Linked DNA regions of Stegostoma tigrinum. The protein of the gene in region 1 interacts with the protein of each later gene in a pairwise test. Links are inferred from orthologs where the notes say so. Each region holds a gene or a part of one and is shown on either strand. Other genes may lie near its edges.

Evidence for each region.
Region 2: the proteins of zgpat (region 1) and BEN domain-containing protein 5-like interact in binary tests that used the Homo sapiens proteins (3 or more experiments, as listed by UniProt). The two-hybrid records come from large-scale screens. The link is inferred for Stegostoma tigrinum from reciprocal best matches to the Homo sapiens genes ZGPAT and BEND5.
Region 3: the proteins of zgpat (region 1) and cdr2a interact in binary tests that used the Homo sapiens proteins (3 or more experiments, as listed by UniProt). The two-hybrid records come from large-scale screens. The link is inferred for Stegostoma tigrinum from reciprocal best matches to the Homo sapiens genes ZGPAT and CDR2.
Region 4: the proteins of zgpat (region 1) and mipol1 interact in binary tests that used the Homo sapiens proteins (3 or more experiments, as listed by UniProt). The two-hybrid records come from large-scale screens. The link is inferred for Stegostoma tigrinum from reciprocal best matches to the Homo sapiens genes ZGPAT and MIPOL1.

The regions. Positions count from the first base shown.
Region 1 is NC_081372.1:35,392,390-35,400,181, reverse strand, and holds the start of zgpat (zinc finger CCCH-type with G patch domain-containing protein), read left to right. Parts: upstream 1-4,446; 5' UTR 4,447-4,544; coding exon 4,545-5,089; intron 5,090-7,792. UniProt on the Homo sapiens protein: Transcription repressor that specifically binds the 5'-GGAG[GA]A[GA]A-3' consensus sequence. Represses transcription by recruiting the chromatin multiprotein complex NuRD to target promoters.
Region 2 is NC_081358.1:13,504,279-13,511,789, reverse strand, and holds the start of BEN domain-containing protein 5-like, read left to right. Parts: upstream 1-4,245; 5' UTR 4,246-4,427; coding exon 4,428-4,653; exon of another isoform or gene 4,654-4,714; intron 4,715-7,511. UniProt on the Homo sapiens protein: Acts as a transcriptional repressor.
Region 3 is NC_081376.1:34,248,420-34,256,135, forward strand, and holds the start of cdr2a (cerebellar degeneration-related protein 2), read right to left. Parts: upstream 3,107-7,716; 5' UTR 2,929-3,106; coding exon 2,847-2,928; intron 1-2,846.
Region 4 is NC_081363.1:57,567,795-57,575,836, reverse strand, and holds the start of mipol1 (mirror-image polydactyly gene 1 protein), read right to left. Parts: upstream 3,371-8,042; 5' UTR 2,882-3,370; intron 2,855-2,881; exon of another isoform or gene 2,720-2,854; intron 1-2,719.

The DNA.
Region 1 (7,792 bases):
AAGGGGTTCAGGTATATAATTCTTTGAAATTTGAGTCACAGGTAGACAGGGTAGTTAAGGCATTTAGCTTGCCTTCATCGCTCAGCGTTTTTGAGTACAGGAGTTGGGACATCACATTGAGGATTTACAAAAATATGGTGAGGCATTTTTTGGGAGTATTGTGTACAGTTCTGGTCACCCTGTAATCAGAAGGATATTATTAAATTGGAGAGGATTCAGAAGAGATTTACCAGGATGTTGCCAGGAATGGAGGTTTTGAGTAATAAAAATAGGCTAGAAAGACTGGGACCTTTTTCCACTGGAACATAGGAGGTTGAAACCTGTACGTCAAATATTTAGCTAATGAGCATGATTTGGCTAACATCACAGGAAATCTAATTATCTTCCAAACTCTGCACCCATTTAAAGTAGGCACCATTTAATCTTGGTCAATACATGAGGAAGAACATAATAACACAGAAGGATGTTTTGAAACTGGTAAAGGTTCAGAAAGAGATTTACAAGAATGTTGCCATGGTTGAAGGGTTTGAGCCATAGAGAGAGGCTTAACAGGTTGGGGCCATTTCCCCTGGAACATTGGAGACTGAGGAATGACCTTATAAAAGGTTTATAAAACCAGAAGAGATGTTGATAGGGTGAATTGACAAGGGCCTTTCTCTGCAGTGAGGGAGTCTAAAACTAGAGGGCAGAGGTTTCAGGTGAGAGGGGAAAGATTTAAAAGGGACTTCAAGGGCAACTTTTTCACACAGAGGGTGTTGTGTGTATGCAATGAGCTGCCAGAGGAAGTGGTGGAGGCTGATACCTTTTTAAATGTTGTAATTGTATGCAGATGGGTAAACAGATGGGAAGGATTTAAGAAGGACGTGGGCCAAATACTAGCAAATGGGACTAGATTAATTTAGGATATCTGGTCAGCACAGAGGAGTTGGACCAAAGGGTCTGTTTTCAAGCTGTATTTCTCTATGACACACAAAATTACATCCCAAAGCTCCAAATAACTATAATCAATGCAGTGTCGAGCTGGAGGAACACAGAAGGTCAGGCAACATCAGAGGAGCTGGAAAGTCGACGTTTCGGGTTTACACCCTTCCTCAGGACTCCAGCATCTACAGTTCTTGCTATTCCAAATAGTGTACTATATGTTTTGTTTCACAGGAACACGATCCCAAAAAAAGAAACAGGACACTGTTATAAAGGTTTATATTATTCGTGTTTGGAAACGTAAGGCACTGTCGCTCATGAAATAATCTGTCAAGCTCTGGATTTAATGACAGCAACGAAGTATAAAACTTTTGAACATCCCTCATCGTCTCTTGTATGCTCTAGAACGATGGCTTTCAATTCAAGAGTCACCCTTTCGCGACCAATAACGCTTACTAAACGGAGCTCTTACCTTTAGACCTTTAAATCCATTTAAATCCTTCTGTTATGTACCAGGCTCCAAATTATGGAAACGACACAAAGCGGAAGTTTCGCCTGAACAAACCGGATCTTCGACCGCCCCTTAGGCATCGAAATGCTGTAGTTTTTCTGTCGCTTTGTTCTGAATGAGGGCGGGGGCATTAAAACGACAATACCCATAATCCTTCAGTGGCGGGTGGGCGGAAATGAGGTGGACATGCGCAGGGCGAGTCATCTGCCATTTTTAATTGTTAAAGGTTGCAACTGTTAAGTTCACCCCAGAAGTTGTCAGTTTATAGATTTTTAAATGACACTTTTCAGATTCATCTTGTGCGTGACATAATATCGTAAAATGCATATGCCCTGAAAACTACATTTGAAAAAATACAACTTCAGCGTAGGTCTGACATGGATATGTTTCCACATATGGGAGAGACCATAATTAGAGCTATAATCCCATCAGGGAAATGAAGAAAAATCCCGCTCCTGACGGCGGTTAGCACATGGAAATACTGACCGAAAAAATGTTTGAGGCAAATGCAGTAAACACATTTCAACAAAGGTTTGGTAAGTATTTGAGGGAAAAAATGAATAGAAAGTTGTGCTTTTAATGTGCATTGAGATGGTCGGAGCATGTACCTCTCGGGCTGAATGGCTTGATTGTGTACTCTGCAATTTATGCAATAATAAACTAAACAAAATGAATGGTCTATGTCTATTGAATATTTCTGCCTCAAGCTGCAGAGAATATCATTGTTACAATTTGGAATACATCACACAGATGGAGAATTTAAAAAGAAACTTCAAAATGCCATTGCACCCACTCTGGAAAAGGATGGATTGCATTTTAAAAGAGACTATCTTTAGTAGAACAATCAGCTGTAATACCATCCAAACATCAAGACTGCCAAAGGAACCTTGGAATACGTTCGTGGATTCCCGACAACTTCATCTTTACCGTCCTTTTAACATTTTTTTGGATGCTACTGCAAGTCAGCATATATATTTTGCAGGATTCAGAATGAGTTTTAGTTTTTCAATTAGTTTTATTATAAACTCAAGTATAAGCCTTGTTGGTTCAAGAAATCCATCTGGCTTAATTTTTCATATAGTTTTTACATACAGTCAAGCATATGCTGAATAGAAAAAGAATCTTTATAAATTCAAACTAATGAAACCAACCTCCGAGCTGAGAAGTGAGGAATTCACCTCTCGGGATTCAGTTTAACAGTGTACTCAGAAAATTCTAAAGTGCTTCATAACCAATTGTTGACTTTTGAAGATTAGAATTATTGGAAAGGTAAATACAATGATAACTCGTATACACTAAGATCTGATAGAAACAAACGAATGAATGGAGATAATCATTTGTGGTGGTGTTGTTCAAGTCTACAATGTTTGTCAGGGCAAAAGAAGGACCTTTGCTTTCCTTTGAGTAGTGCCCACCAGGGACCTTTGATGCCACCTGAGGAGACAGGTTTGGTTTAAAATGGCATCTGAGAAGGAAATGATATTGAACTATATAGGTTTTCAGTAATAAAGAAATGAAATAAAAGGGGTAATGTGGTTATGATATTAGACTCATAATCCAGAAAAATACTGAAAATCCCACCCATAATGACGATAAGTTAATTTAAATTTATTTTAAAAATTTTAGAAATAAAAAGCTGGCAGTAGTGAAAAGAATTATATAATCGGGAAACCAATCCCCCTGTGTGGCTTCCTCTACATTGGGGAAACCAAGCAGAGCCTTGGGGACCGCTTTGCAGAACACCTCCGCTCAGTCCGCAACAAACAACTGCACCTCCCAGTCGCAAACCATTTCCACTCCCCCTCCCATTCTTTAGATGACATGTCCATCATGGGCCTCCTGCAGTGCCACAATGATGCCACCCGAAGGTTGCAGGAACAGCAACTCATATTCCGCCTGGGAACCCTGCAGCCTAATGGTATCAATGTGGACTTCACCAGTTTCAAAATCTCACCTTCCCCCACCGCATCCCTAAACCAGCCCAGTTTGTCCCCTCCCCCCACTGCACCACACAACCAGCCCAGCTCTTCCCCTCCACCCACTGCATCCCAAAACCAGTCCAACCTGTTCTTCCTCTCACCCATCCCTTCCTCCCACCCCAAGCCACACCCCCATCTACCTACTAACCTCATCCCACCTCCTTGACCTGTCCGTCTTCCCTGGACTGACCTATCCCCTCCCTACCTCCCCACCAATACTCTCTCCACCTATCTTATTTTCTCTCCATCTTCGGTCCGCCCCCCCCCCCTCTCCCTATTTATTCCAGAACCCTCACCCCATCCCCCTCTCTGATGAAGGGTCTAGGCCCAAAACGTCAGCTTTTGTGCTCCTGAGATGCTGCTTGGCCTGCTGTGTTCATCTAGCCTCACATTTTATTATCTTGGATTCTCCAGCATCTGCGGTTCCCATTATCTCTGATATAATCGGGCTTATCTGTTTAAAGAACAGAAATCCTTCATGTTGTCCTAGCTGAACATTTATTCCTTGATTAAACAATTTTCAGTCACAAGTTTTTTTTAAATTTAGTCCCTTGGAAACAGATTAATTGATCAGTATTGCTGAAACACTAACTTCCAAACCATCAATTTGTTTGTTCCTTTCATTGATGCTCCACATTTTTCTGTTTTCCATTTGGAACACAGCTTTTATCTCTTGGCTGTTTGCGGTATCTTGCTGTGTTATTGCCTTGAAAACACGGCAGTGCACTTACAGAAAGTACTCAGTGATTAGTGTTTAGGGGTGTCCTGAGAACAGGAAAAATGCCGTTTAAACGAACTTTAGTTTATTTAATGAAATACGAGAGGGGGGGGTGTTAAAACAGAAAGTGGGCAGAAATTTAAGAAAAATAAAAGTAGATGACACCTAAAGTTTGCAAATAATGAAAATGATCCATGGAGGCTAAAAATGCAAGATTTTGGAACTAGAAGAGAGTGGGACTTATAATGTTCCCCATGTTCCCGGTTGCGAACTGAACTATTTTTCCAGCGTGAGCCCAGCCACAGGTCAGAGGTTGTTCACTGTCTTTTCCTTCCGGAGTTATTGTTCTCGTTGGCCATGGCGGCGGGAGCTGAACGATTCTGATCGCTGTCAGTGCGGCTCCGGAGCGCTGGTCATGGACGAGGCGAGTCTGGAGGCGGCCATCGAGGTGTACAAGGCCCAGCTGCAGCAGGTGGAGGCGGCGCTGGGAGCCGGGGCCCAAGCTGAGGCCGAGGCCCAGGCGGACCTGCTGCAGCTCCAGGCCGACCTACAGCAGCTGGTCGCCCTGACCGAGTCCAGCCTCCTGTCGGTCCGCAAGAGCCAGCTCCTGGAGCAGCTGCAGCGAGGCGCCTCGCCGCCGGAGCCCGAGGACCAGTCAGGGCTCGACGCCGAATACGCCGCTTTCCAGGCGGCTCTGAGGGAGGCCGACCAGGAGCCGGGGAGCGGCGATGAGGCTGAGACTAAGGTTGAGGCTGGGGATATTAGCGGCGCCAAGGTGCGGGCTCCGTACCGCTCGGCTTGGGGCCCGCTGCAGTATCACAACGCCATGGTGGTGGGTGTGGAGGCTGACCAGCCACCCGAGCCCACAGTCCGTGTCCTGTGGATCCACCCCACACAGAGAGCCATGAAGCCCTGCCCGTTCTACCTGAGTGGGAGCTGTCGCTTCCTGGACTCCTGCAGGTAATTCAGGAAGGGAAGGCTGAACTGAGAGAGAGAATAAACATGGAGTAACATCATCGAGGGAGTTCAAAACTAGGCTCCACGTACTCGTATATTCAACAAAGCATTCACGAGCAAATTACTAAGAAGTGATTTTACTATAACATAAGCAGAAATTGCTGGAGAAACTCAGCATACACATAGCATCAACAAAAACAAAGTTGCTGGAAAAGCTCAGCAGGTCTGGCAGCATCTGTGAAGGAGAAAACAAGAGTTAACGTTTCGTGTCCGGTGACCCTTCCCCTCAGCCAGACCTGCTGAGCTTTTCCAGCAACTTTGTTTTTGTTCCTGATTTACAGCATCCGCAGTTGTTTTCGGTTTTTATTATCTACAGTAGCATCTACGGAGGGATAACAGAATTATCGTTTCGAATCCAGTGACCTCTGCTTTCTCCACACATGCTGCTAGATATGCTGCTGAGTTTCTCCAGCAATTTTTGTTTTCATTTCAGATCTTGACATTGGCAGGTTTAATTTTAGAGTTTGTGTAATGTTTAACTCTATGAGGAGTAACTGAGACACGTAGTGTTAAAGAGATGTTACTTAAATATAGGCTAGTGCAGTGAGTATTGAAGGTATATTGATGTGATGCCATTAAGAAGGATGAGATGATGCTCATGTGGACTGCTACAGGCTAGTTGGCTAAATAGTCTGTTATTGTGCTAAAAATTCTGTGTAATGAATGGTTAGGTCAATCTGAAACCTCAAAGGCAGCAGAACTGTGCACACTAAGAAATGCACAGTTTACAGTCGTATATCTATTTAAATATGGAATTGTCTTAGTTTTCTTTTTGAGTGGCCACAAATCCAAAAATGATTTTCCTATAATTCAGTCTCATTCTCAGCATGAGAACTGCGGTGCTGCAAGGATCAGTGCTTGGATCCCAGCTATTCACAGTCCCCATCCATGATTTGGATGTAAGGACCGAATTTAATATTTCCAAGTTTATTCATGAAACTGGATTAGTTGGGAATGTGAGTTGTGAGGAGGATAAATAGAGGCTTCAAGAGTATTTAGATAGGCTGAAAGCGCATGGTACGTGGAATATCATCTGGAAAAATAGAAGGACAAAATATTTCTTACGTGGTGAGAGTGAGATGTGTTGATGTTCAAATAGATCTCGGTAACCTTGATTGAATGTCACTGAAGGTTAATGTGCAGGGTCACTTGGCAATTGGGAGTGCTGATATGTTGTTTCACCAGGATTTTACAGGAGTAAAAGTGTCATACTGCAGTTACATAGAGCCTTGGTGAGACCACACCTTTAATATTGTGTACAGTTTTATTTCCTTTTCTAAGCAATGATATACTTGTCATTGAAGTATTACAGCAAATGTTCACTAGACTGATTCCTTGGTTGGCAGAATTCCTTACTTAGGAGGAGAGATTGAGGCGACCAGACCTATATTTTAGTTGATCACATTGAAGTACACAAAATATTTACAAGACGTGACAGGTTGATGCAGGAAGGATATTTCCTTGCCTGGGACAATGTAGAACGAGGGGACAGTCTCAAAATAAGAGGTTGTCCATTTGGTACTAAGATGATGTTTTTCATTCAGGTTGGTGAATTCTTTTTTCATCAGAGACCTATAGAGGCTTGGTCATTGATCATATTCAAGGCAAAGAATGATAGATTTCTAGATATAAACTATATATCAAGGGGCACTTGGATAATGTGGGAAAATGGCGTTGAGGCAGAAGGTCAGCAATGATCTAATTGTATAGTGGAACAGGCTTGAAGAGTCAGGTCAATGCAGAAAATATGTAGTGGCAGAGGGTGATTGCATCTTCCCTAATCACAAGAAAACACAGTAATGTGGTGACCGATCAGTGAAAAGTTGTTTCCGTAAATAGATCGGAAGAAAATGGTGAGGAGCTTCTCTCATTACAGGCTGGCTGTCTTGTGCATGCAACTGATAGGCACACTCCTGTTAGCAAGTACAGCCGTGAGAAAGCTGCAAAGGGGTGGGAGACACAATAGGGCAGTGAGATCTACACAGGTGCCTGGGGAAGATGAGGATTGCAAGTGGATTAGAGGTAGAAGGGGTAGAGCTGTGCAAGGGGACTGAGTAGGTGGGAAGCTGGTGCTAGGGGTTTAGGTAGGAAAGGGATGTTCTGTGGTGATTAGGAGAGGCCAGAGGTATCTGAAAGAGCATCAGGTAGGTGGGAGTGACAGGGAGGAAGCAAGTGTTGTGAAGACAGCAGGTCAGTAACAAGGAAAATCACAAAATAATAAAACACTTGTAAATGAATATGAAATTCCTTTGCTTAATGCTGCATTTGTTCAGGACATATGTGAAGATTGCAGCAGATGTTGTGGTGATGAGTGCTGTTGTTAAACTAAAACCTGAGATGAAGTAAGTAGGGTTAGTCACTGCCTGGTTGAAATATTCCAGCTTTGAATATGTGATAAATACACATTAGCTGCAACTTCACTATTCTGGAGGATCAGTTTAAATTGAAGGCTTTTTCTGTGTAGAAGTGTGTTGGTTATTTTGATTTGAAAAAAGAGTTGCTAACTTTTGCCATTGGGCAGTTTAAATACTGTAAAATTTACACTTTTCCATGTCTGTTGTAGCTTTAATGGAAAGTTGATAATATTGAAAATATTAATATATTCCTCTAATTCTGTTCACTCACTCAGTGATTTGAGGTGTCAAT
Region 2 (7,511 bases), on another chromosome or scaffold:
GACCGAAAGCATTGCCAAATATCAGAGATAATGGGAACTGCAGATACTGGAGAATCCAAGATAACAAAGTGTGAAGCTGGATGAACACAGCAGGCCAAGCAGCATCTCAGGAGCACAAAAACTGACGTTTCGGGCCTAGACCCTTGATCAGAGAGGCTATTGCCAAATAGGTGGGTTTACAGGAATATCTTAACGGAGGAAAGCAAACCTGAGACGTTCAGGGTGGGAATTCCAGACTGTTGAGCCACCAATGGTGAAGCAGTGCATAAACATATTATTGGAGTCTTAAACTAAATGAGTTGTCCAAGTCTTGAAGGTTGTACGGTGTGGGGAGGTCAGGATGATCACAGCCAGGAATTAAGTCAATGGTAAGAATTTTAAAATGTTTTTGTTTATAGATTGTAATCTTTGTAGGTCAGGGAGCACAGGAGTGATGGTATTTATCTTGGTACAATTGAGCATGTGGATAGCAGAGTTTTAGATACTCAGCTAACAAAGGAATGGATGTCAGTTTCAGCAGCAGAGGATCTGAGTCTCGGGTGGATAGGGTGATGTTCCCGAGGTGGAAATAGCTGGCTGGTGTGTGAATGGGTTCATGCTATCATCTCAACTAAACATCAGTGAGTTCACACCAGGAGAAACCATTAACTTGTGCCAAGCATGGGAAGAGATTCATTCACAGTTGGGACACCTGTGATTTGTTAATTCTTTGAAGTTTGTATCACATATATAGATAGTGTGGTTAAGACAGCATTTAGTGCACTTACCTTCATCGCTCAGTCTTTTCAGTATAGGACTTGGGATGTTACATTGAGGTCATACAGGACATTGGTGCGGCCTCTTCTGGAATACTGTCTCCAATTCTGATCGCTCAGTTATAGGAAGATTATTATTAAACTGGACAGGATTCAGAAGATATTTACCAGGATGTTGCTGGGAATGGATTATAAGGAGAGGTTGGTACGCTAGGACTTCTTTCACTGTAGTGTAGGAGGTTGAGGGGTGACCATACAGATGTTTATAAAATCGTGAGGGGTATAGGTAAGGTGAATGGCAAGTATCTTTTCCCTAGAGTGGGGGATTTCAAGGCTAGAGGACATATTTTTGAGGTGACAGGAGAAACATTTTAAAAAGACACAAGGGACAATTTTTTCTACACAGTGTGGTTTGTGTGTAAAACATAGAACATTACAACACAGAATAGGTCCTTTGGCTTTCCAGAGGAAGTGGTGAATGCGGGTACAGCCTTGGTTCAAACATGGACAAAGGTGCTGAATTCTAGAGGTGAGAATGACAGCCCTTTACATCAAGGCTGCATTCAGCTGACTGTACCATCAAGCAGCCCTAGCAAAACTGGAATCACTGGGTATCAGAGTCAAAAATCACTGGTGGTTGGAGTCAAAACTGATACGTAGAAAGACGTTCATGGTTGTTGGAAATTAGTCATCTCAGCTCCAGGGAGGAGCTCTGTAGGAGTTTCTCAGGATAGCATCCTAGGCCCAACTATCTTCAGCTACTTTCAAGTCAGAAGTGGGGATGTTCACTGATGATTGCCCAATGTTCAGCACCATTCGAAACTCCTTGGATACTGATGTAATTCATATCCAAAAATTATGAAAGGTATGGATAGGGCAGATACTCAGTTTCTTTCCCAGGGTGGAAATGTTAAATATGAAGGGTTATAAATTTAAAGTTAGAGAGGAAATGTTTTAGGGACGTCTGTCAAGAATGCTTTTTTTTTTAAAACAGAGGATGTAGGTGCCTGGAATGCACAGTGAGGGGAGGTTGTAGAGCCAGATACATCAGCCAAGTTTAACAGGCATTTAGACAGACACACAAACAGGTAGGAGTAGAGGGGTATGAACCATATACAGCCAAATGAGATTAGTTTAGAATAGCAAAATAGTTGCTGTAGACATGGTGGGCCAAAAGAGCTGTTCCTGACTTGTAATGTTCTACATTCTATCTGCTATGATGAAATTCAAACCCTTATCCCCAGAACATTAGTCTAAGTCTCTTGGTTTCTTGTCCAGTGGCCTTGTGGGTCAGCCCACAGCAGTTCAAGGCAGCAGCTCACCCCCTCCTTCTCCAGGGCAACAAATGCTGGCTAGCCAGTGATATCTACATCCCATAAGTGGAAAAAAAAAACCACAATGCTACCACCTCTACAAGTTGGTGTCATAATATCATTGTAAACAATGAAAAGATCCAATATTCTTTTTGTTTTTGGCTGAATTTTCCATATCACAATCCTTACTTCAGATTGATGTAAAAAAAACCTAGCTACGGTAGAAAATTTGTCTGAGGATAGCACTTTTTTAGTGGAAGTTTTGTAACAACATTAAGCTTCGAATTTGGGAAAATTTCCACAAAACTAGTTTGATGACTCTGCATCTGACATCCCACAGATTCATTAAAAATGTACCTTGTTGATCATTTGTTTGTTATCTGCCTTATTGACCATTATAATTTTGGGCTTGGAATCTTATTATCTTTGTAAAATGCTTTGCGTTATTCTTCCTTATGAAGGGCTCTTTATCCGACATGGTTACCAGGAGGTAAGTTAAGCTGCCCTTGCCAAGAGTTTGCACGGACTTGAGAAGGCCAAATAGCTTCCTATATTCCTAGTGCAGTAATATACTAGCTTCACACATCACTTCTGAGCATATTTATGATTCAATTGTTGCATTGCCCCATAAAAAAGTTAACCGTACTCTGCATCTGGATCAAACTGAAAAACACGATTCAACAAACTACCTGGTAAGAGTCTGCAGTTTAAGCTGCAAGGCACTGAAGCACGATTGATGTGCACACAGGACTGACAGAGGATCACTGTTTTAAAGGATAAAGCATGTTCACTTCCTGCTCATGAGAAGCACCATTTGTGGTATTTTTGGCACCTAATAAATTTTAATTGGCATTTGGTGTAGCAAGCTCCTGCATTGTTTATGTGCATAACAATTTATAATAACATACAAAAATCAAGTGCATACAACATAATTCACTCACTTTATAGTTTTCCAAACAAAAGGAAAAAAACAAGAAACTGAGTGGACCTGGCTGGGACCCACTCTGGAATTCCTCCCAGAATAATATCCTGAAAGTGTCAAACATTAAACGTCAAAATTTACTCTGTCATATGCACTGTTTTGTTGTCGAAGTAGAGTCTTATAGGTGCCCTGCAGTAATCATCCAGATTTCAATAACATTATCCAAACCTGTGACTTTAACTGCTCAAAAAGGCAGTAGACACTTTGGAACATAACCACCTAAAAGCTGTTTTGAGATAGTAGGAACTGCAGCTGCTGGAGAATCTGAGATAACAAGGTGTAGAGCTGAAAGAACACAGCAGGCCAAGCAGCATCAGAGGAGCAGGAAGGCTGACGTTTCAGGCCTGGACCTAAGTTTCCTCAATTCGTACCATCGTAACTTCCAAATACGTTACTGTTCGCTCAATGCCATCAAAATTCTTATACGCTTCACCACCTTTTAAGAGAAATATTAGGAGGAGAATAATTAACACATGGCCCAAAATTTTTAAAAACATCTGTACTTCCGCAGCACAAATCTGACCCTAATGCATGACATTAACTTGTGAAGGGCTGTAAAGCTAGGAGATTACAGATTTTAAGACATCATAATTCTTGTAGTTCGGGAAAGGGAACATCTCAGATTTATAAGTACGTGTGCTCTTCCGACAAGATAGAAAACGCTGGCTTTCGGCTGCAGTCATGTGTGAATTCCCAAAATAAAAATGCAAATTATCCAATGTTAATTATCGTCATCTCAATGAGTCCAAAAAATTACAAAAAACTTTTTTTCCAAACTACCGTATACATTTATGCCATGCGCATTAAAAGTTTTCTTCGTAACAGTATTTGTCTTGGATATTCGCTGTGTTTCGAGCGATGTGCTCGGTAAAGTTTGCATTATTTCGTGAATCTTATTTATAGTTCTCTTAACCTTTGGTCTGGTGCATGCGCTTTTTACCTCATCCTACGGTGAGTCTTGTCCAACATGTGAAACAACCCTATTCTGCAAAATATTATAATAATCAAGACAGTAAACGGGTACGCTGCGACAAATTGCATATATATCAAACGCGGAATGTTTGGAGCGTTATTCACTGCCCACCGGGTCGGCTGTACACAACGCAGAGCCTGGAATCAGTGAGAGCACGTTTGCCCTGGGGTACAGTCCGAGTCTACCTCCTGCTGCTGGCGCCGGTGCGCCTCTGTCGGTGACGTCAGGCGCAGCCAGCTGCTGGAGGGGGTGGTGGTTCGCGGTGGAGCCTGCGATCCGGATTGTGTTCCTCTCCGCTCTACTGGGAGCCAGTCTGCTGAGGGGAAGGAGAAGGAAAAGGTGGCGGCGGCGGCAGCAGCAGCAGTTGCTGCTGATACTGTTATTGGCGGCGCCCTTCAACAAACATGTTCGCCTGCGTACGCTTCCTGCAGGACCAAGTGCATCATATTATACCCGTGTCCCACATTAAAAATTTCCACCCCACATCCAAGTGCGACTTCAACAAGAAACAAGTTTATCGACTGTCGCTGCCGGGAGTAGGACCTGGACCGGCTCCGGCAGGAGAGGCGGAAACAGGCACCGTTACTAAGGGGGGTCACTGCCGGAAGGCCCAGATTCTCGCTCTGGGAGGTAGGTACGAACCCAGGCCGGAAACGAGGAGGGGAGGGAAACGTGGGATTGTTTAGTGTTACCCAACCGGCTCGGCTGTGAACGAAAGACCAATGAGAGATGGGAGTGTTCCACCCTCCAAAAAAACACAATTGGTTGAAACGTATTTCCCCAACCCCCAAATGCTCCTGTTGCTGTGCAGGAGGGGTGAGTTTTCGACCAACCCTGATGGGCAGCAATTATTCATTGTTTTCGTTCAGGTAACCGCTTGCATTGGTGTATTCAAACTCTTGCATCTCCCAGCCCCTTTATTGTTCGTTTCAGTGCAATGGAAAAGCTAAATTTGAATTTCTATTGTTATTTTTTCCCCTTTCAGCACATAATAATTACTTACAACAGGATACACCACTGCCTGTGAGACTACAGTTTCATCGGTCTTGCAGTTAATATGAATAGATATTGCTCATTTTTAAGTTAAGACTTCGTAAGAGAAATGCTTGAAAATATTGTAGTTTGAAGAAGGGATAGTGGAACTGCCGATGCTGGAGTCTTAGATAACAAGGTGTGGAGCTGGAGGAACGCAGCAGGCCAGGCAGCATCGGGGGGCAGAATAAAGCTTGCTGAGGCACCAGTGTGGAGAAACAAAAATACTTCTAAATTGCTGTTTAAGGCGCACAGCTGACTTTGCAACATGCATGAATAAATGTACCACTAAAAATTGGCTTTGCTGTCTTCCTACATCTGTCTTGGATAGAAGAAAACTACACAGGATGGTAGAGGTCTGAAATAAAAATAGAAAATGCTGGAAAAACTGTTGGTGGCTCAGAGGTTAGCACTGTTGCCTCACAGTGCCAGGAACCCAGATTTGATTCCAGCCTTGGGTGACTGTCTGTGTGGAGATTGCACGTTCTCCCTGTGTCTGCATAGGTTTCCTCCCACTGTCCAAAGAATATGCAAGTTAGGTGGATTGATTTTGCTAAATTGCCCATAGTGTCTAGGCTGAGAAATGCAGGGGTGTGGTAAGGGGTGAGTCTGGGTGGAATGCTGTGCAAAAAGTTGGTGTAGACTTAATGGGCCGAATGGCCTGCTCCTACGCTGTAGGGATTCTATGATTCTAACTCTGGTATAGCAGCACCTGTGAAGAGACAAGAGTTTATGTTTCAAATCCATTGTGACCATAACCACCTTTCCAAACACTAGTCTTCACAACGGTTCTGAAGAAGAGCTGTAATGGCTTCAAAATGTTAACTCTGTTTTTCACTCCATGGACGCTCCCAGGCCTGCTGAATTTCTTCGCTTCTTGGTTTTATCTCTCTTATTTCATAGTGTTACTTCATGAACAAATACTTTTAAGATTTTTATATGTGTTGCAGGCCCACTTAGTAGCTTGTCAGACGTATTGTGACCAGCTGATTCTCCCCAGCAGGTGGAAGTAAAGATCTAGTTACAGTGGGGATAATTGGATCTGTCCTGATATCATGCAAGACATGCATCCTTGATGAAAACAAAATACTATGAAAGTTCAGAAATCTGAAAGAAAAATATAAAATGTTGGTAGTTACTCAGTTGGCCAGATAGTACCTGTGGAGGGAAATTTATATTCAGTGTGTGTAAAGATGGAAGATTTGGACATGGTTCTTAATACATTTTATCTGTCTTCATAAAAGGTGGAGGCAATTTAAATATAATAGTTGATTTGGACTATGGAATGTGAGTATAGACCCAGCAAGGGCGGAAATGCTGAAAGGTTTAACATCTTTGCAAGTGCATAAATCACCAGCCTCAAAAGAAATGTGCCAAACTTAAAAGGAAAGTAGAAAGACTAACAATTGTTGCTAAGTTTCCAGTGGCAATGAATGTAACTATCTCCGTTTTTCATAAATTCTTTCACATATCCATTGCTGAACAGAATAACCTGAAAGGCTCAGGCTCTTCCATGATCAGAGGTCCAACCAATCCCTAACCTCTACCCGGTGAACCTGTACTTGTCATAATCAGCCGATTCTTTAATTTGCTTACTTAGAGCCATAGGGTCATACAGCATGGGAACAGAGCCTTTGGCCCAATTTGTCCACACTGACCAGAGATCCCAATCTCACCTAGCCTCATTTGCCGCCATTTTGCCTACTTCTGTAAATACTTCCAGTCATATCCATCCAGATGCCTTTTAAGTCTCCACCATTTCCTCTGGCAGCTCTTTCCATACACTCACCACTTTCTGCGTGGAAAAAGTTACTCTTCAGGTCCTTTTAAATCTTTTCCCTCTTACGTTAAACTTTTGCCCTCTAGTTTTGGAAGCCCCCACCCAATGAAAAGGACCTTGGCTAGTTACCCTGATAACAAAGTCTGAAGCTGGATGAACACAGCAGGCCAAGCAGCATCTCAGGAGTACAAAAGCTAACGTTTCGGGCCTAGACCCTTCATCAGAGGGGGGGATGGGGTGAGGGTTCTGGAATAAATAGGGAGAGAGGGGGAGGCAGACCGAAGATGGAGAGAAAAGAAGATAGGTAGAGAGGAGAGTATAGGTGATGAGGTAGGGAGGGGATAGGTCAGTCCAGGGAAGACGGACAGGTCAAGGAGGCGGGATGAGGTGGTAGGTGGGAAATGGAGGTGCAGCTTGAGGTGGGGGGAAGGGATGGGTGAGAGGAAGAACAGATTAGGGAAGCGGAGACAGGCTGGGCTGGTTTTGGGATGCAGTGGGGGGAGTGGACGAGCTGGGCTGGTTTTGTGATGCAGTGGGGGGAGGGGAAGAACTGGGCTGGTTTTGGGATGCAGTGGTGGAAGGGGAGATTTTGAAGCTGGTGAAGTCCACATTGATACCATTGGGCTGCAGGGTTCCCAAGCGGAATATGAGTTGCTGTTCTTGCAACCTTCGGGTG
Region 3 (7,716 bases), on another chromosome or scaffold:
GATTTTATTTCCTTTTAGTGGCATATTTAAACCACAAAAGTATAAAGCATGCGACAGAAGCAGTCAGGATTGGCAAAAATATTGATTTCAACAGCATGGGACAGTGAATCCAATAACTACAGCACTGAAGGCAGACAGGCAATCAGGTCACTAGAGAAAAGGTTGGTAAAAGGGCAAAACAAAAACAAAAATATGATAAGCCTGAAAGAGAAACAGAGCACGCTGGAAGTGCCATGCAGCATCTGTGGAGAAACTGCAAGACGTGAAATTTAACTCTCATTTCTCTAATATTGTCTGATGTGGTGAGTGTTTCAAACATCGTTCAGTAACAGCACACAAACAAAATTAAGTTAAATGCAGGGTAAATTACAACTCCCAGTCTCTTACAACATTACTCCACATACATTTCACTTGAATTTTAGCCAGTGCTTTTGGCTGATCTAAGATACAAAAAGACAGAATCAGAGACTGTTGGTCCTGCCCACTGACTCAACCAGATTACCACTTAAAAATGATTTTCTTGGAGGGTTTGTAAACTGCTGTATCAGGATCACCATAAATTTAGGAAACAAATGTGGCCTGGCTTTGTGCAGCTAGTTTAACCCCACCCCACAAAACAAAAATTCTATATTCCTCTGTTAGCATCACATATTGCCAGTTTTTCAATGGCTTTTTAATTGTTTTGCCTGATTGTTGCTTGGACGTCTACAGTGAAGAGTCCTTGATTTCCTTTAGACCGTGGAGTCTCCTGATTTAATCTCATTTCATTGTCTGATTCAATAGGAGGATGCAACAAAGAAAATGGGAACCCATGTTGATAATACTGCTGAGTGCTTCAAAGAGCATCTTTTTCTTATTATTCAGCAGATTTTAATGCTGTGTCCTAGTTGGAACTGAAGCTGTCCTTCCAATTCCAATCTCTCAAAAGTCTTTTATGACATCTTTAAATGAGTTTCTGTGTGTATTCCAGAGCAAGTAAAAAACACATTTGTTTCCATATTGTCTCTGAGACACTGGGGAAAGCAAGTTAGGCAAATATCAGCCTGGGACCCACTCCAAATGATGGGCTGGCCCTACCCCACAGCTTGTCCATATGAGGACCTCAATTTCTCACCAGCCTGGTGGACTAATTCCCATCAGCCAAGTTCATTTTTAATGATAAACCATGTCACCGGGAGTTCCGAGGAGGGGGTCTAAAGTCACAATCTTTGGATGGATGGATGGACAAAAATCAGTTAAACGGAAGGACACAGCCTGAACAACAGATTATGAGCAGTGGACACATCCAGAGATGCCCCTCGTTGTTAGTACTATATTACTCCCAAGGCGCATGTAGATATTACAGCATGAAACATACTTAAATCGTTGTCCATATCTTCCAAGTATCAAGTGTTTCCGTTCGAAATATCCCAAAGAGGCAGGTTCAGATTTGTGTAGCGGCTTAGCATTGTCAAAACACTCGTGATAAACCCGTCTAGATATTGTAAGGTTTCTACTTTCTGCACAAAGGTGAAGAGGAGGCTTAAGAGGATTTTCCTGATAATGAGGAGGAGATTTGATGGAGTAAATAAAAGGAGAGATGATTTCTAGTGGCAAGAGGGCCGATTAGTAAAGGGCAGTTTTAGGATAATTAACAAAGCAGCTCTGTGTCCCGTCCCCCCCGAAGCAGAAACAAAAGGAGATTCTACTCTAGAAGGGCAATTTGAAATTCCGGAAAGGGAGAAACGTGTAAGGTTATGAAGGGAACATGGGAGTGACACAACTTGTTCTTACAAAGAGCCAGCACAGAAGCGAGGGGCCAAGTAGCCTCTCCGCCAGCCTGAACTCCCACCTCAGAGTCCAGTTGGAGGCAAACTGCCAGTTCTCTTAATCCAAGCGGAAGCCAACTTTTCCTCGTTAAATAACGGGTTGGGATTCAGATAAAGCTCCAGGGGAGGGAGGGAAGGGATGGTTTTCGATTAGAGCAGATCAGCCTCTCACTAGGACAAGGTTTCTATGGCGACAGCTCTCGCCAGGGCAAGCCACTGAGAAAAGGCGCGCTGTGTAAGAGAGAGAGAGACACACCACACAAGGAGACGGAGGCAGAAACAGAGACAGCCACAGACACAGACACAGCAAGGGAAGCGGGAAAGGGGCCGGAGATCTGCGGGATAGCCAGGCCACGCCAAACACTGAGGTCAATGCCGGACTCCCGGCGACAGAGCCACTAACCAATCCCCACCCCGGCCTCTACAGCAGTCTGAAACGAAATTCGCCAGATATGGTGTTTGTCTCGCAAACGTACAAGTAAAATTTATTTTCAAAATAAATTTCGAATGGGAGCTGTGGTGAATGAGAAGGGAACTCGATGGATATCTCAAGAAGAGCCAGTAAAGACACGGTTGGCCGAATGGCCTCCTGATGCTCTGCACACGTCGACTGCGGTAAACTCCACTGCTCAGGAAATAACACCTTTATCAATGTTCACAGGCTGTAATTAACAAACAACTTACTTGGCCTTTGCGAATAAGAAACACAGACATTGTGCTCGTCTCTTTCACAAAAGCCGAGTCAACTGGGTGGGAACAGCGCTATTATTTCCCTCCGTCCCGGTTCAGGCTAGACACAGATTAAAGGAGAAAGATTCTTAAGAACAGTGCCGATGCAAGGTCACAAATTTATAGCATTGAGCGCTTCTTTCTCTCCAGATGATGTCTGGTTCCATTATTTTGTTTTTCATTTCAGATCTCCCTCATCAGCTGTATCTACCAGCAAGGCAAGGATAAAACTGGCAGCGTGCAATCTATTTTCTTGGTGCTTGTCAACCAACTCCAACCTGGAGAAGCGCCTTTAAACTTTAAACTCACCGTGCTCCATATTCTGCTGTTGCTGGTACCACGGTTCCTCCTCCCGGCGTTCAAAATCCTCTATTATGCTGTCAGTTAACATCTTGCTTTTTTTTTGTTAGGAAGAAAAGTACCGGCTTGGAAAAAAGCTCAATAACGTAACTGTACCCCGGCTGCGGCTGCTGATGAGCTTGGACATTCATAACATTTATTCCATGCCTCTATAAAACTAACGCAACGTGGCACTATGTGCCTATAAGCCAGCTCCTAATGCACTACAAACGCGGGGATTCCGCCCGGCCACCAGGGCCCCGCCCCTTTCATTGTAACAATTCAAATGACAACCAATCACTGCGTCCGCACTGCCACCGTGACCGGTAGTGCCCTTTTTTGGAAAGCGTGAATCTGATTCAAGATCTTCAGCCAGACCCAGCCGCGCGTTCATCCTGAAACTGGAAACATTAACCTTGCTTCAGTGGCCACAGATGCTGCCAGACTTGCTGGGTATCTCCAGCATTTTCTGTGTTTTTTTTTCAGATCTCCAGCATTTGCAGTATTTTGATTTTATTAGAATAAAATAAAGAACTGCAGACGCTAAAAATCTGAAACAAAAGCAGACATTCTTCAGAACCTTCAACGAAGGGGCACTGGGACTTTGCTTTCGCTCCACAGTTGCTGCCAGACATGCTGAGTTTCTCCAGCAATTTCTATTTTTGCTTTTATTAGATCCTACACTAACGTTGTTAATTATTTCATTGTGGTGGAGCCGTATAATCATGGATCCAGCTGTTGTGGTGTTGGTTGATGTCTTGGACCCTTCTTCAGACAGGACATTAAATCACAGCCTTACCTACTTTCTCAAATTGGTGCAAAATTCCCAAGGCCATCTTTTGATGAAAAGCAGAAAGGATTCCCACCCTATATCCTCTTTAAAAATTCATTTCAGGACGTCACTGACTAGGTCAGCGTTTGACCTTGAAACCCTTATCTCCAAGAAGATGCCTTCTTGAACCACTGCTGTCCAATTAGTGTAGCTACACCCAAGGGCTGTTCTGAAGGGAGTTCCAAGATTTTGACCCAGCGACAGAGGGAATGATAATATTTTAAAATCAGGGTAATGTTGATTGGAAGGAATTTACAGATGATGCTGTACCCGTGTACCTTTGTTGCCCTTTTCTCTGTAGATGGTAGAGGTCACAGGTCAGAAGGCACTGTCAAATGAGACTGTGTGGTTGGCTGCATGTATCACTGCGGCATACCTCACCGCAGTGAGCTGAAAGTGTTCGAAGTGAATGTTTAAGTGGAGGATGGGGTGCTGATTATGCATTTGCTAGATTGGATTCAAGGGTTTTTTTAACCAGTGCTTGGGAAACAGACATTGCTTAGTGGGTAGCACTCCTTCTTCTAAGACTTTTCAAGTCCCACTCCAGAGTATGAGTTGACTTTGTATATGTCAAGGTCTGGTAAGGCAACAAGGCTGCTACTTAGAGATAGCAAGAACTGCAGACGCTGGAGTCAGACACCACACAGTGTGGAACTGGAAGGACGCAGCAGGCCAGGCAGCAGCAGAGGAACAGGAAAGTTGACATTTTGGGTCAGGACCCTTCTTCAGACAGGACATTAAATCACAGCCTTACCTACTTTCTCAAATTGGTGCAAAATTCCCAATGCCATCTTTTGATGAAAAACAGAAAGGATTCCCACCCTATATCCTCTTCAGTCTCCCCAATCTCACCCCCAATGTAATTGCTCAGCCAATATCATCAAAACCATACTGGTACCTACAGAAACTCGTCACACTGGAATGTGAGGTACTACATTTTTGTATGGCAAATCATGGCTGGACTTGAAACACATAATGGTAAGGTCCTGGAGATTGTTGCTGAATGAGGTAGACAGAGTAGTGAGGAAGGCATTTGGTACACTTTCCTTTATTGGTCAGTGCATTAGGTATAGGAGTTGGACAGTCATGTTCTACAGTGAACGACATTAGTTAGGCCATATTTGGAATAGTGCATTCAATTCTGGTCTCCCTGCAATAGGAAACATGCTGTGAAATTTGAAAGGGTTCAGAAAGATTTACAGGGAAGTTGTCAGGGTAGGAGGGTTTGAGCTGTAGGTAGGGCCTGAATGGTAGGGCCTGAATGGGCTGGGACTATTTTCCCTGGAGTCGGAGGCTAAGGAGTGACAACAAGAAATTTATAAAATCATGAGGAGCATGGATAAGATGAACATTTAAGGTCTTTTCCCCAGGTTAGGGGAGTTCAAAACTAGAGAGCATAGGTTTAAGTGAGAGGGAAAAATTTAAAGGGACCTAAGGGGCAACTCTTTCATGCAGAGGGTGGTGTGTGCAAGGAAGGGTCTGTTTCTGTGCATGGAAATAACTGCCAGAAGAAGTGGTGGAGGCTGGTCCAATTACTATATTTAAAAGGCATCTGAATGGGTAAAGGAAGAGGAAGGGTTTAGAGGGAATTGGGCCAAATGCTGGCAAATGGGACTCCATTAATTTAAGATATCTGGTTAGCTTTAACGAGTTGCACTGAAGGGCCTGTTTCTGTGCTGTACATCTCTATGACCTGATGATACCCACCTGCCTGTGATGTCAGGTTTAACTGGAGCCTTGCATTTTTAAACATGAGCATTTCTCTTTGAACAAGTGGTCAAAGGAACTTACAATAGAAAAAGTTGCCAAAAGAGTACACAGCATTAAGATTTTAAACATTATGGTATTTATATTTTTTTGCATGGGATATCAGGATCATTATTAATGTTTTGAGTTTTGAATCACACAGTTCTGTCTCCTAGTGCCTGAAAAGTAGGAGTATTAACCTTGGCGATGTTATAATTTCCTGCTTGAATGAAATATTTCACTCTGCTTAGTTAGTTTGGCTAGAATAAGTGAATCTGTGTAGAGTTACTCATCGTTTCCACATTCACTAATGTCAAAATCATCATCCATTGACAAGAAATGGAGCAGCATTTATTTGCACAGTGTGCAGGTTGGCATCTTAAACTTTACAAGGGAGCAGTGAGACCCAAGCCATAGAATTATTTTAATCAATTTTCTTTTTAACATAGCAACAAACATACATTGTAACCCAAGCATAAATAAAGTCATGCTTTAAATTCTGCAACATTTTACACAATTTACTGTTGATTGTAACCAGAATGCATTAATATCTGGGTGTTAACAAAACAATATGTCCAGTCCCTTTATTCATCCTCTCAAACTTGCATCTTTTAATATGAAGAATATATCCCTTGGCCCCCAATTTGTGTAATACCAATCCATGCCAGAGCATCCTAGCTCTGAAATCAAGTACCACAAGAAACCATAGCTTGTCTTCTTTCGGATACCAACTGACCTGTTTTATATTTGCAGCATTTTCTAGAAATTTTCATTTGTCCTAATACTGTCAGCCTAGTTTCACTGGACTTTGACCTTGTGTCTTGCTATGAATATGAGATCCTATTCCCCCACAGACGGCTTCACAATGTTATTCAGTCAATCTTTCTCTCCACCCGCACCCAACTCAACCCCTGCTTTCTGTTGAATTATCATTGAACGAGACTACAAGTAGTTTTCATTCATTTTAGCTTTCTTTAATTCACAGTACACTACTGAGTTTTATCAGTAGCGCTGATGTGGATGACTATGGAAGCACTGGTACCCCAGGAGCAAAAGAAAAGTGAATTGAAAAATGAAACAAAATAGTCATAATATCTGCAAGACAGTGAATTGTCTTCTTCAAAGCCACAAAGCAATGAACTAGTTTATCCCATGCTTAGACTTAGTTTTAAGCATGATCAATCTCTACTGATAGCTCAGTGGATTAAAGCTAAAGTGCTCCTGAACCTTTACAGAACTTTACACTTATATAGCACCCTTTACATCACCAGAACATTCCAAAGCTATCCATAGCCAACCAACTGCCTTTAAATGCTACCACTGTTGTTAATTAGGCAAACACAGTAGTCAATTGCACAAACTCTCTCAAAAACAACTATATTACCGACCATGAGTACTTTTAATTATGCTAGTTGTGGAATGGATATTGACTATGACAAACTGTCCTGCTTATTTTCAAGTGGCATCATGGAGTCAGTTACATCCACCAGAAAAGGAAGGCAGGGCTGTGGTTTATCATCTTATCGAAAAGTGCAGCTCTTCTTCAATACTGCCCTGGGAACATCAATATTAATTCTGTGCATAGGCAGGACTTGAACCTGCAACCATCTGATTCAGACAATGATAACCCACTCAGAGATAGTAAGAACTGCCGATGCTGGAGTCAGAGATAACACAGTGAGGAGCTGCAGGAACACAGCAGGCCAGGCAGCATCAGAGGAGCAGGAAAGCAGACATTTCAGATCAGGACCCTTCTTCAGAACTGGAGGAGGGGAAGATGGCTCTGAAATAAATAGGTGGGGGATTGCCTGGGGAAGGTAGGTGGAATGGTGATAGCAGGTAGATAGTGGTGGGGAGTGGTCAGTGAGGTGGGATGAATGGATTGGTGGGAGAGAAGATGGACAGGTCAAGAAGGTGGGGATGAGGGAGAGGGTTGATCTTGGGATGAGGCCGGAGTGGGGAGATTTTGAAGCTAGTAGAGTTCACATTGATTTGTAGGCTTCCAAGGTGGAATATGAGGTGCTGCTCCTCCAGTTTCCGGATGGCATCATTGTGACACTGGAGGAGGCCCAGGATGGACGTGTCGTACAGGGAGTGGGAGGGGGAGTTGAAGTGTTTTGCAATTGTAAGGTGTGGTCATTTGTCGTGACCTTAGCACAGGTGCTCTACAAAGCAGTTTCCAAGCTTCCACTTGGTGTCACCAATGTAGAGGAGGCCACACTAGCTTTACTAGCTTCAAAATCTCCGCACCCCTGGCCTCAC
Region 4 (8,042 bases), on another chromosome or scaffold:
CTGGCAAATAGTCAACTAGATTTCTTTTAAAAAGCTGACTCACTCAGAACTGAGTGAACATAGCTCAAGCACTAATCTGAGATGCTTTTCACAAAGGGCAAGTCTTATTTACTTGAAAAAACCCAATTAATCTAGTTTATGCATTTCTGACGGGTGTTTGAAAAAATGCCATATTAGGCTTGTCAGCAAAGTTGAAGCTCATGCAATAAGTGGTGACATATACAAATTGTCCAACTGACAGGAAGCAAGGCAACTGAAGTTTGGACAGGAGGCAGCCATAACTTGGCAAGCTCGATCAGTTTTTATTGCCCATCTCTAGTTGTCTTTTGATCCGAGTGGTTTGCTAGGATCATCTTAGGTAGTTAAAAGTCAGCCACATTGCTGTGAATCTGAAATCACATGCAACCAAGTTCAGCTAAGGACAGCAGATTTCTTTTCCTTAAGGATACTAAAAAACCAGATAGATTTACGACAATCAACTGTGGCTGCCATGAGGCTAACTCCTAGTTTCAGTTGTTTTTAAATTGAATTCCAATTTTGCCATTTAAATGCATGTACTTAAAAGCATTAGCTTTGGATTCTGGGGGTTCTACTAACAGACATGACATGGCTGCCTCCCCAGGGTTTCATCAGAGGTTGGTAATGGAAACTTGTTTTTTGATGAACAATGTTAATAACCTAGATGTGCAAAGTACAATTTTAAAATATGCAGCAGTAAAAATCTTTCAAGTATTGAACAGCAAGGATACATTACAAAAGACAGGCTTGTGCAATGAAAAAACAAGTAGCAAATAAAATTTGATGTGAGCTAAGTAGTCAGTTTTGATAGGAAGACTGAGGAAAGAGCATACACAAAAAGGATACAGTTCTGAAACATGGCAGAGTACAAAGGAAGGAGTTATGGCAAGACTTCACAAAATATGACTGAACTAGAATGATATTGTGCCAGAATGGAATACATTGCCAGAACACCACAAAAGTGGTTTTTATGCTGCAGCTGTACAAAACTCTGGTGTGGCCACACTTGTAGTATTGCGTACAGTTCTGGTCACCGCATTATGAGGAGGATATGGAAGCTTTGGAAAGGGTACAGAGGAGATTTACTAGGATGTTACCTGGTATCAAGGGAAGGTCTTACGAGGAAAGGCTGAGGGACTGGAGGCTGTTTTCATTAGAGAGACGGTTGAGAGGTGACTTAATTGAGACACAAGATAATCAGAGGGTTAGATAGGGAGAGCCTTTTTCCCCCAGATGGTGACAGCAAGCACAAGGGGGCTTAGCTTTAAATTGAGGGGTGAAAGATAATAGGACCGATGTCAGAGGTAGTTTCCTTATTCAGTAAGGGGAAGGGTATAGAATGCTTTGCCTGCAACAGTAGTAGATTCACCAACTTTAAGTCATCATTGGACAAGCACCTGGACTTCAGATTGCAGATTGGTATGGCAGGTCAGCACAACATCAAGGGTTGAAGGGCCTGTACTGTGCTGTTCTACACTTTGAAATCAATTGCATTTTTTGCTATTTTAAGTCATTGAGTAAGTCAGTGATATATTTGCCAAATGCAATGACTTCTAATGGCTCCAAAAAAATTGCCTCAATTAATATGGGCAGCATGGTGGCTCAGTGGTTAGCACTGCTGCCTCACAGCACTGGGTACCCAGGTTTGATTCTAGCCTCGGGTGTCCATGTGGAATTTGCACATTCTCAGTGTGGGTTTCCTCTGGGTGCTCCAGTTTCCTCCCACAGTCCAAAGATGTGCAGGTTAGGTGGATTGGCTATGCTAAAATACCTAGCGTTCAGGGATGTGTAGCTTAGGTGGGTTGGAGGGCACACAGGGGAAGGAAGAGAAAGAAATGGGTCTGGTGGGATGCACTGAGGTTCAGTGTGGACTTGTTGGGCCAAAAGGGCCTGTTTCCACATTGTTCGATCCTATGGCTAATATTCATGCAAAAACAAACATTAAAGTTCAATTTTAGCAGAAAGCTTTTGAAAAAAGTTAGACAACTGTACAAAACTTCACTGGTTCAACAATTGATGAACTATAAGTACTGAAGGGTTTTAAAAATGTCACAATATTAATTGTTTTGAACCAAAGCAATCTGCCATTCCAATACCCATAATGGAAATATTTCCAAAACAAAAATACCTTAAATACAACAGTCCAAAAAAGCAAACAAACTAGCAAACCATTCATGATCCAATTAATACAAGATGTTTACCAAGCTGAACAATATTGCACAGATGGCCTAACTCAAATCAATGTTGTTGTTAAGTTAGACCAGAACAAAATCCACATATTCATACAATGTTACATCATTAACTTTGTTTAACAACTGTAGGATTAAAGGAGAAAACCAACCAGGCATCTATCATTCTGCCCACCCCAATATGTCAATTGCAACAAGCAAATGTTTGCTATCGCTGTATACTATGTTTAAGTATTGTTACAGCGAGCAAAGTGTTCCGGACCTCCGAATTAATTTATTTGTAAAATCGTTTAGTTTTCTCATCGAGGGCACCAATGATACAGGATTACAACTACCCTGATTTTGAAGGCAAGGCATAGAGAGCTACCATTACGAACAGACAACACAAAATTCCATCTCTCTCGCCATCCACCAACCCACCCTGCCCAACTAAATAACGCCATAAATCCAAACTCGCTGTCATTTACTTATCGCAAACACGAAACTTTGCAGCGAAAAAAAACCTGTCTGACCCTGTAGATTAACTTATATTGGTTGCAGCTCATCACTACCGCAGCAGTCCTGCTCCAAATCCCCTCTGCTCGCAGTATCAACAGGCTATGCTAACCGTCTAGCATTCGAATACGGTCTCGAGCGACGGTACACAACGCTTCCGGGTCACGAGAAATCGTCACCTGCCAGCTTTCTGGAACAATCGTGTTCCTTGTTTAGGGCGGCGTATACTGTTTGTTCGTCGTCACAGACAATATTGCAGTTGTTTGTCATCCACTGCTTGACAAATGAGAAGCGACGAGTCTCATTTCATCGAAAGTTTGTGCTGACACTTTCTATCGCCGTGCAAACTTAATTTAATTTTTCCTGGAAACTGAACACGCCGTGCTTTCTGGTTGCGGCCGCCACCACAGATTATTACGGTCATCTGTAAATTGAACAGTGTAGGCAGAAAGTACAACAGGTCAGTTAGTATCTGAAACGAAAGAAAAGACGAGTTACGTTTTTGCTAGTGTGCGGCTTGTTTTTCAAATAATACAAGTCAGAGCAGCCAGTGTAAAAGTTAATTAAACTTGTTGCTGGATTTAAAACCAAAAAAACTGCAGATGCTGTCAATCAGGAACAAAAGCAAAGCTGATGGAAAAGCTCAGCACGTCTGGTAGCATCTGTGTTTGGGGGGGGGTGGGGGGACCAGTGTTAACGTCTGAAGTCCCACCATCCTTCCTTAGACCGGATGGTGGCTGGAAAACATGACTTTATATGGAGAAAATAGGGAGTAAACGATAGGATAGAGCACGGAGAGAGAGAAACGCATTTGGACAGACAAAGGAGTTGCTAATGATCAGGCTGGGAGGGTGATTAGTTGTTAATGGGAACTGTTAATGACTAACAACAGGGGGTGTGCAGTGGCAGGCGATGTGGGAACAAGGCCTGGTGTGTGGGCCTGGGTGCTGGGACGTGGGAGAGTTTAGGCCCTAAAATTATTGAACTCGATATCGAGTCCAGAGGGCTGTATAGGGTTCCCAAGCGGCAAATGAGGTGTCGTTCCTCCAGTTTGCGTTGGGCTTCACTGGAACACTGTAGCAAGCCGGAGACAGAGATGTTGGCCAGGGAGTAGGGTGGTGCATTGAAGTGGCAGGCAACGGGTAACACTTGACCTGCACTTCCAGGAATCTAGTCTACTGAATTCACTGCTCACAATGTGATCTCCTCTACATGGGGAAAACTAAGTGTAGACTTGTGGGAAAACTAAGTGTAGACTTGGCGACCTTATCTCAAAACATCTACATTCTGCTCGCACAAAAGACCCTGAGCTACTTGTTGCTTGCCACTTTAATGCATCACCCTGCTCCCTGGCCAACATCTCTGACTCCGGCTTGCTACAGTGTTCCAGTGAACCCCAATGCAAGCTGGAAGAACGACACCTCATTTGCTGCTTGGGGACCCTACAACCCTCTGGACTCAATATTGAGTTCAATAATTTTAGGGCCTAAACTCTCTCATGTCCCAGACCCCCCCACCCCACACACCAGGCCTTGTTACCACATAGCCTGCCATTACACATCCACTGTGGTTAGTCACTAACAGTTCCCATTAACAAGTACTCGCCCTCCCAACCTGATCATTAGCAGCTCCTTTGTCTGTCCACATGTGTTTCTCTCCCTTTGGGCTCTATCCCATCGTTTACTCCTTACCCCACCCACCTCCCTATTTTCTGCATATAAACTGATGTTTTCCCAGCCACCATCAGTTCTAAGGAAGGGTCACCAGACCTGAAACATTAAGCCTGGTTTTCTTCTCCACAGATGCTGCCAGATGTGCTGAACTTTTCCAGCAACTTTGTTTTTGTTCCTGTAGTTGCTAGATATCTGAAATGAAAAGCAAAAAATGCTAAAGATGGGTCTAGGCCTGAAACATCAGCCTTTCTGCTTCTCTGATGCTCCTTGGCCTGCTGTGTTCATCCAGCTCTACACCTTGCTATAAATATAAAACAGACCTTCCCGCATCACTAGAAACAAACAGGTAGTGTTTGTTATGAGCCTTCATCAGAACGGACACTTTTTGAGGAAAAAATGAGGAGTGACAGACAATAAGGAAGTACTGCGAAAGAAAAATCAAAAATGAAATGCTGAGAAGGAATGATGTGAGGAAAAATGAACATGGAGATAGAGTAAACAAAGGAAGAAAAATGTGTTTATGGGTGTAAATGACGATTGCAAAATTAATTTCAACTGATGTCTTACTAAAAATGAAGGTAGGGTTATGGTTTAAAATAGTTAAACTCATGTTAATTTCAGAAAGCTATAAAGTACCTAAACAAAAGACGTTGTTCTGTAAACACCAATTGAAAATGCACTTCACTTGAACAGAATAGATGTCAAGATGGTTGTGAATAGAGAATTAAAATGGTTGACAGATTGAATTTCAGGGACACGTTTGAGGGCTGCAGGGGATATCCCACAAAACGAAGGCATTGGGCAGGTTTTCCTTCATTGGTCAGAACTTTGAGTAGGAATTGGGATGTCATGTTGTTGAGGCCACTTTTAAAATATCGCCTTCTGTTCTGATCTCCCTGCCAAAGGAAACATGCTGTTAAACTTGAAAGGGCTCAGAAAAGACATACAAGGCTGTTGTCAGGATTAGACTGTTTGAGTTTAAGTGGGAGCCATTGCTTTCCTGGATTATAGGAGACTAAGGGGTGACTTTATAGATGTTTAGAAAATCAATGAGAGGTATGGATAGGATGAATAGCCAAGGTTTGTTCACAGGAAAGGGAGTCTAAAACCAGAGGGCATAGGCTTAATATGAGAGGGAAACGATTTAAAAGGGACCTGAGGGGCAACTTTTTCATGGGGACAGTGGTGCAATGCTTGGAATGAGCTGCCAGAGGAGGAGGAGGAGGAGGTGGTGGAGGCAGGTTTGTTACAACATTTAAAAGTCACGTAGATGCATGCATGAATAGGAAGAGTTTAGAGGAATATGGGTCAAATAATGGCAGATGGGACTAGACCAGTTTCAGATATCTGGTTGGTGCGGACAAGTTACCGAAGAGTCTGTTTCAATGCTGTATAACTCTTTGACCCTATAATCCGTATTTAGTTTTGCCAGGATACAATAGACCACATCGTGAGCAGGGAATGGCAAGTTGCTAAAATGAAAGAAGTCTAGTTTCTATGATATTGCACATGCTAAATATCAGGTTTGTTCAGAGTTCCAAATTTCATTTAATTGCGAGCAATTTCAGTAACATTAATGGAATAGGTGTGCTATCTATTATTTCTTCTGATGTGTAGTATATGTGCTTTCCTTTACTGGCTTCCATTTCTGGCTTGCATGCCATACAGCATGCAGAGGATGTTGACAAATTTGAGGGAACCCAAATTCTAGAAGGATACACATAAGCCATCATGATTGATTGAGTCAAAGACTTCCATGAAGCTAAAAAAAACTGTACATGTGGCCACTGAAAACAAGCAAGCGAATATAGTAGGTAGTTAGAAAGGCAAATTATATGATTGCCCTTCTTGTTGGAGGGTTTGAACTGAGGAGTAAGGATATCTTACAGCAGCTGTGTTGGGCCTTGTTGAGACCGTGCCTAGAGTACTGTCATTAGCTTTGCTGTCCCTAAGGGAAGAAAAGATATATTTATTCTCATCACTAGAGAAGTAATATCAGACAAACGAATGTGGCTAAAGGCAGATCAGTCCCTGATCATGATGCTTTGCATTCTCAAATTCCTAGAAAATGTAGCTGCAGAGATAGTGATGTAATTTTCCAAAATTCCTTTGATTTTGGAGATGTGCCGAAGGACTGGAAAATTGCTAAGGTGACACCCATATTCAAAATGGAAGAGATGCAAAAGTGGGTAACTCTAGGTCAATTTGCCCAACATTTATAGTTGGAAAAATTTGGAATAAATTATTGAGGAAGCAATAGCAGCACATTTTGAAAATCCTAATTTCATTGAGCCAAATCCGCATGGTTTCATGAAAGGGAAACCATGTCTATTCTAATGTATTAGTTTTTTGACGAAGTCTGAACCAGAGGAGACCCAGTCAATGTGGTGTATGGACATCCAGAAGGAGTTTGACAAGGGACCTCTCAAAAGGTTAAATCAAATGTTAAGAATCCTCAGTGTTAATAGTAGTATATTGGCATGGATGGAGAATTGGTTGATGGCAGCAAACAGCAATAAGGGCCTCTCCTTCAGGGAGCAACCTGTAATCAGTGTGGTTCCACGGGAATTAGTGCTAGGATATCAATTGTTATATTAATAACTTGGAGTAAGGAAGCATTTGTATGGAAGCCAAATTTGCAAATGACTCAAAAATAGGTGGAAAGACAAGTTGAAAGAGCAATGAAAATAGTTTACAGAACAATATTGATCAGTTAAGTGAGTGGGCAAAATGTTGCCAAATGGAATGTAATGTGGGAAAATGTGAAGTTGTTTATTTCCAAAGGGAGAACAAAAGTATTATTTAAATAGAGAAAAATTGTAGAATGCTGCAAAACAAAGGGATTTTGGAGAACTTCTGCATGAAACACGGAAAGCTGCATATGCAGCAGGTGATCAGAAAGGTTAATGGAATGTTGGCCCTTATTTCAAAGGGTTTGGAGTGTAAAGTAGACAAATCCTATTGCAGCTGTACAAGGTGCTGGTGAGACCACATTTACAGTACTATGAGCAGTTTTGTTCATTAAAGAAAATACATAACATCATTAGCAGCAGGTCAGATGTTCCCCAGAATTATTCCTGGAATGGATGCATTGTCTTAGGAGGAAAAGCTAAACCAGTTGGTAGATGACTTACTGGAATTTAGAAGAATGAGAGGCGATCTCATCACTTGATGGTAAATTCTGAGGATGTTACCCTCATGGGAGAGTTGAGGATCAGAGGGCATAATCTCAGAATAAAGGGGCACCAACTTAAGGCTGAAATGAGGGGGAATTTCCTCAATGTTAAGTGTCTTTGGAACTCATCTCAGAGAGCTGCAGGTGCAGAGTCGTTGTTTATATTTAAGGCTTAGCTTGCCTTATGATTTGTTGGGGAATCAATATTCCTGGGGGAAAAGCAGGAAAGTGGACATGTGTGTCAAATTAGCTATGATCCTGCTGAATGATGGAGATGGCCAAATGGCAAGCATTTCTTATCGTCTTGAGAATTGTAATGAAGTTTCATTGATCTGGGATGGCAGGTTTGTCATATGATGAGGGACTGGCCAAATTGCGCATGTTCTTATTGCAGTTGGCAAGTATGGGAGGGGATATATTCAAATTTACAAAGTGCTAACAGGCTGAATAGACTGGATGGAGATATGCTTTTTGCCCTGCCTGGGGGATCCA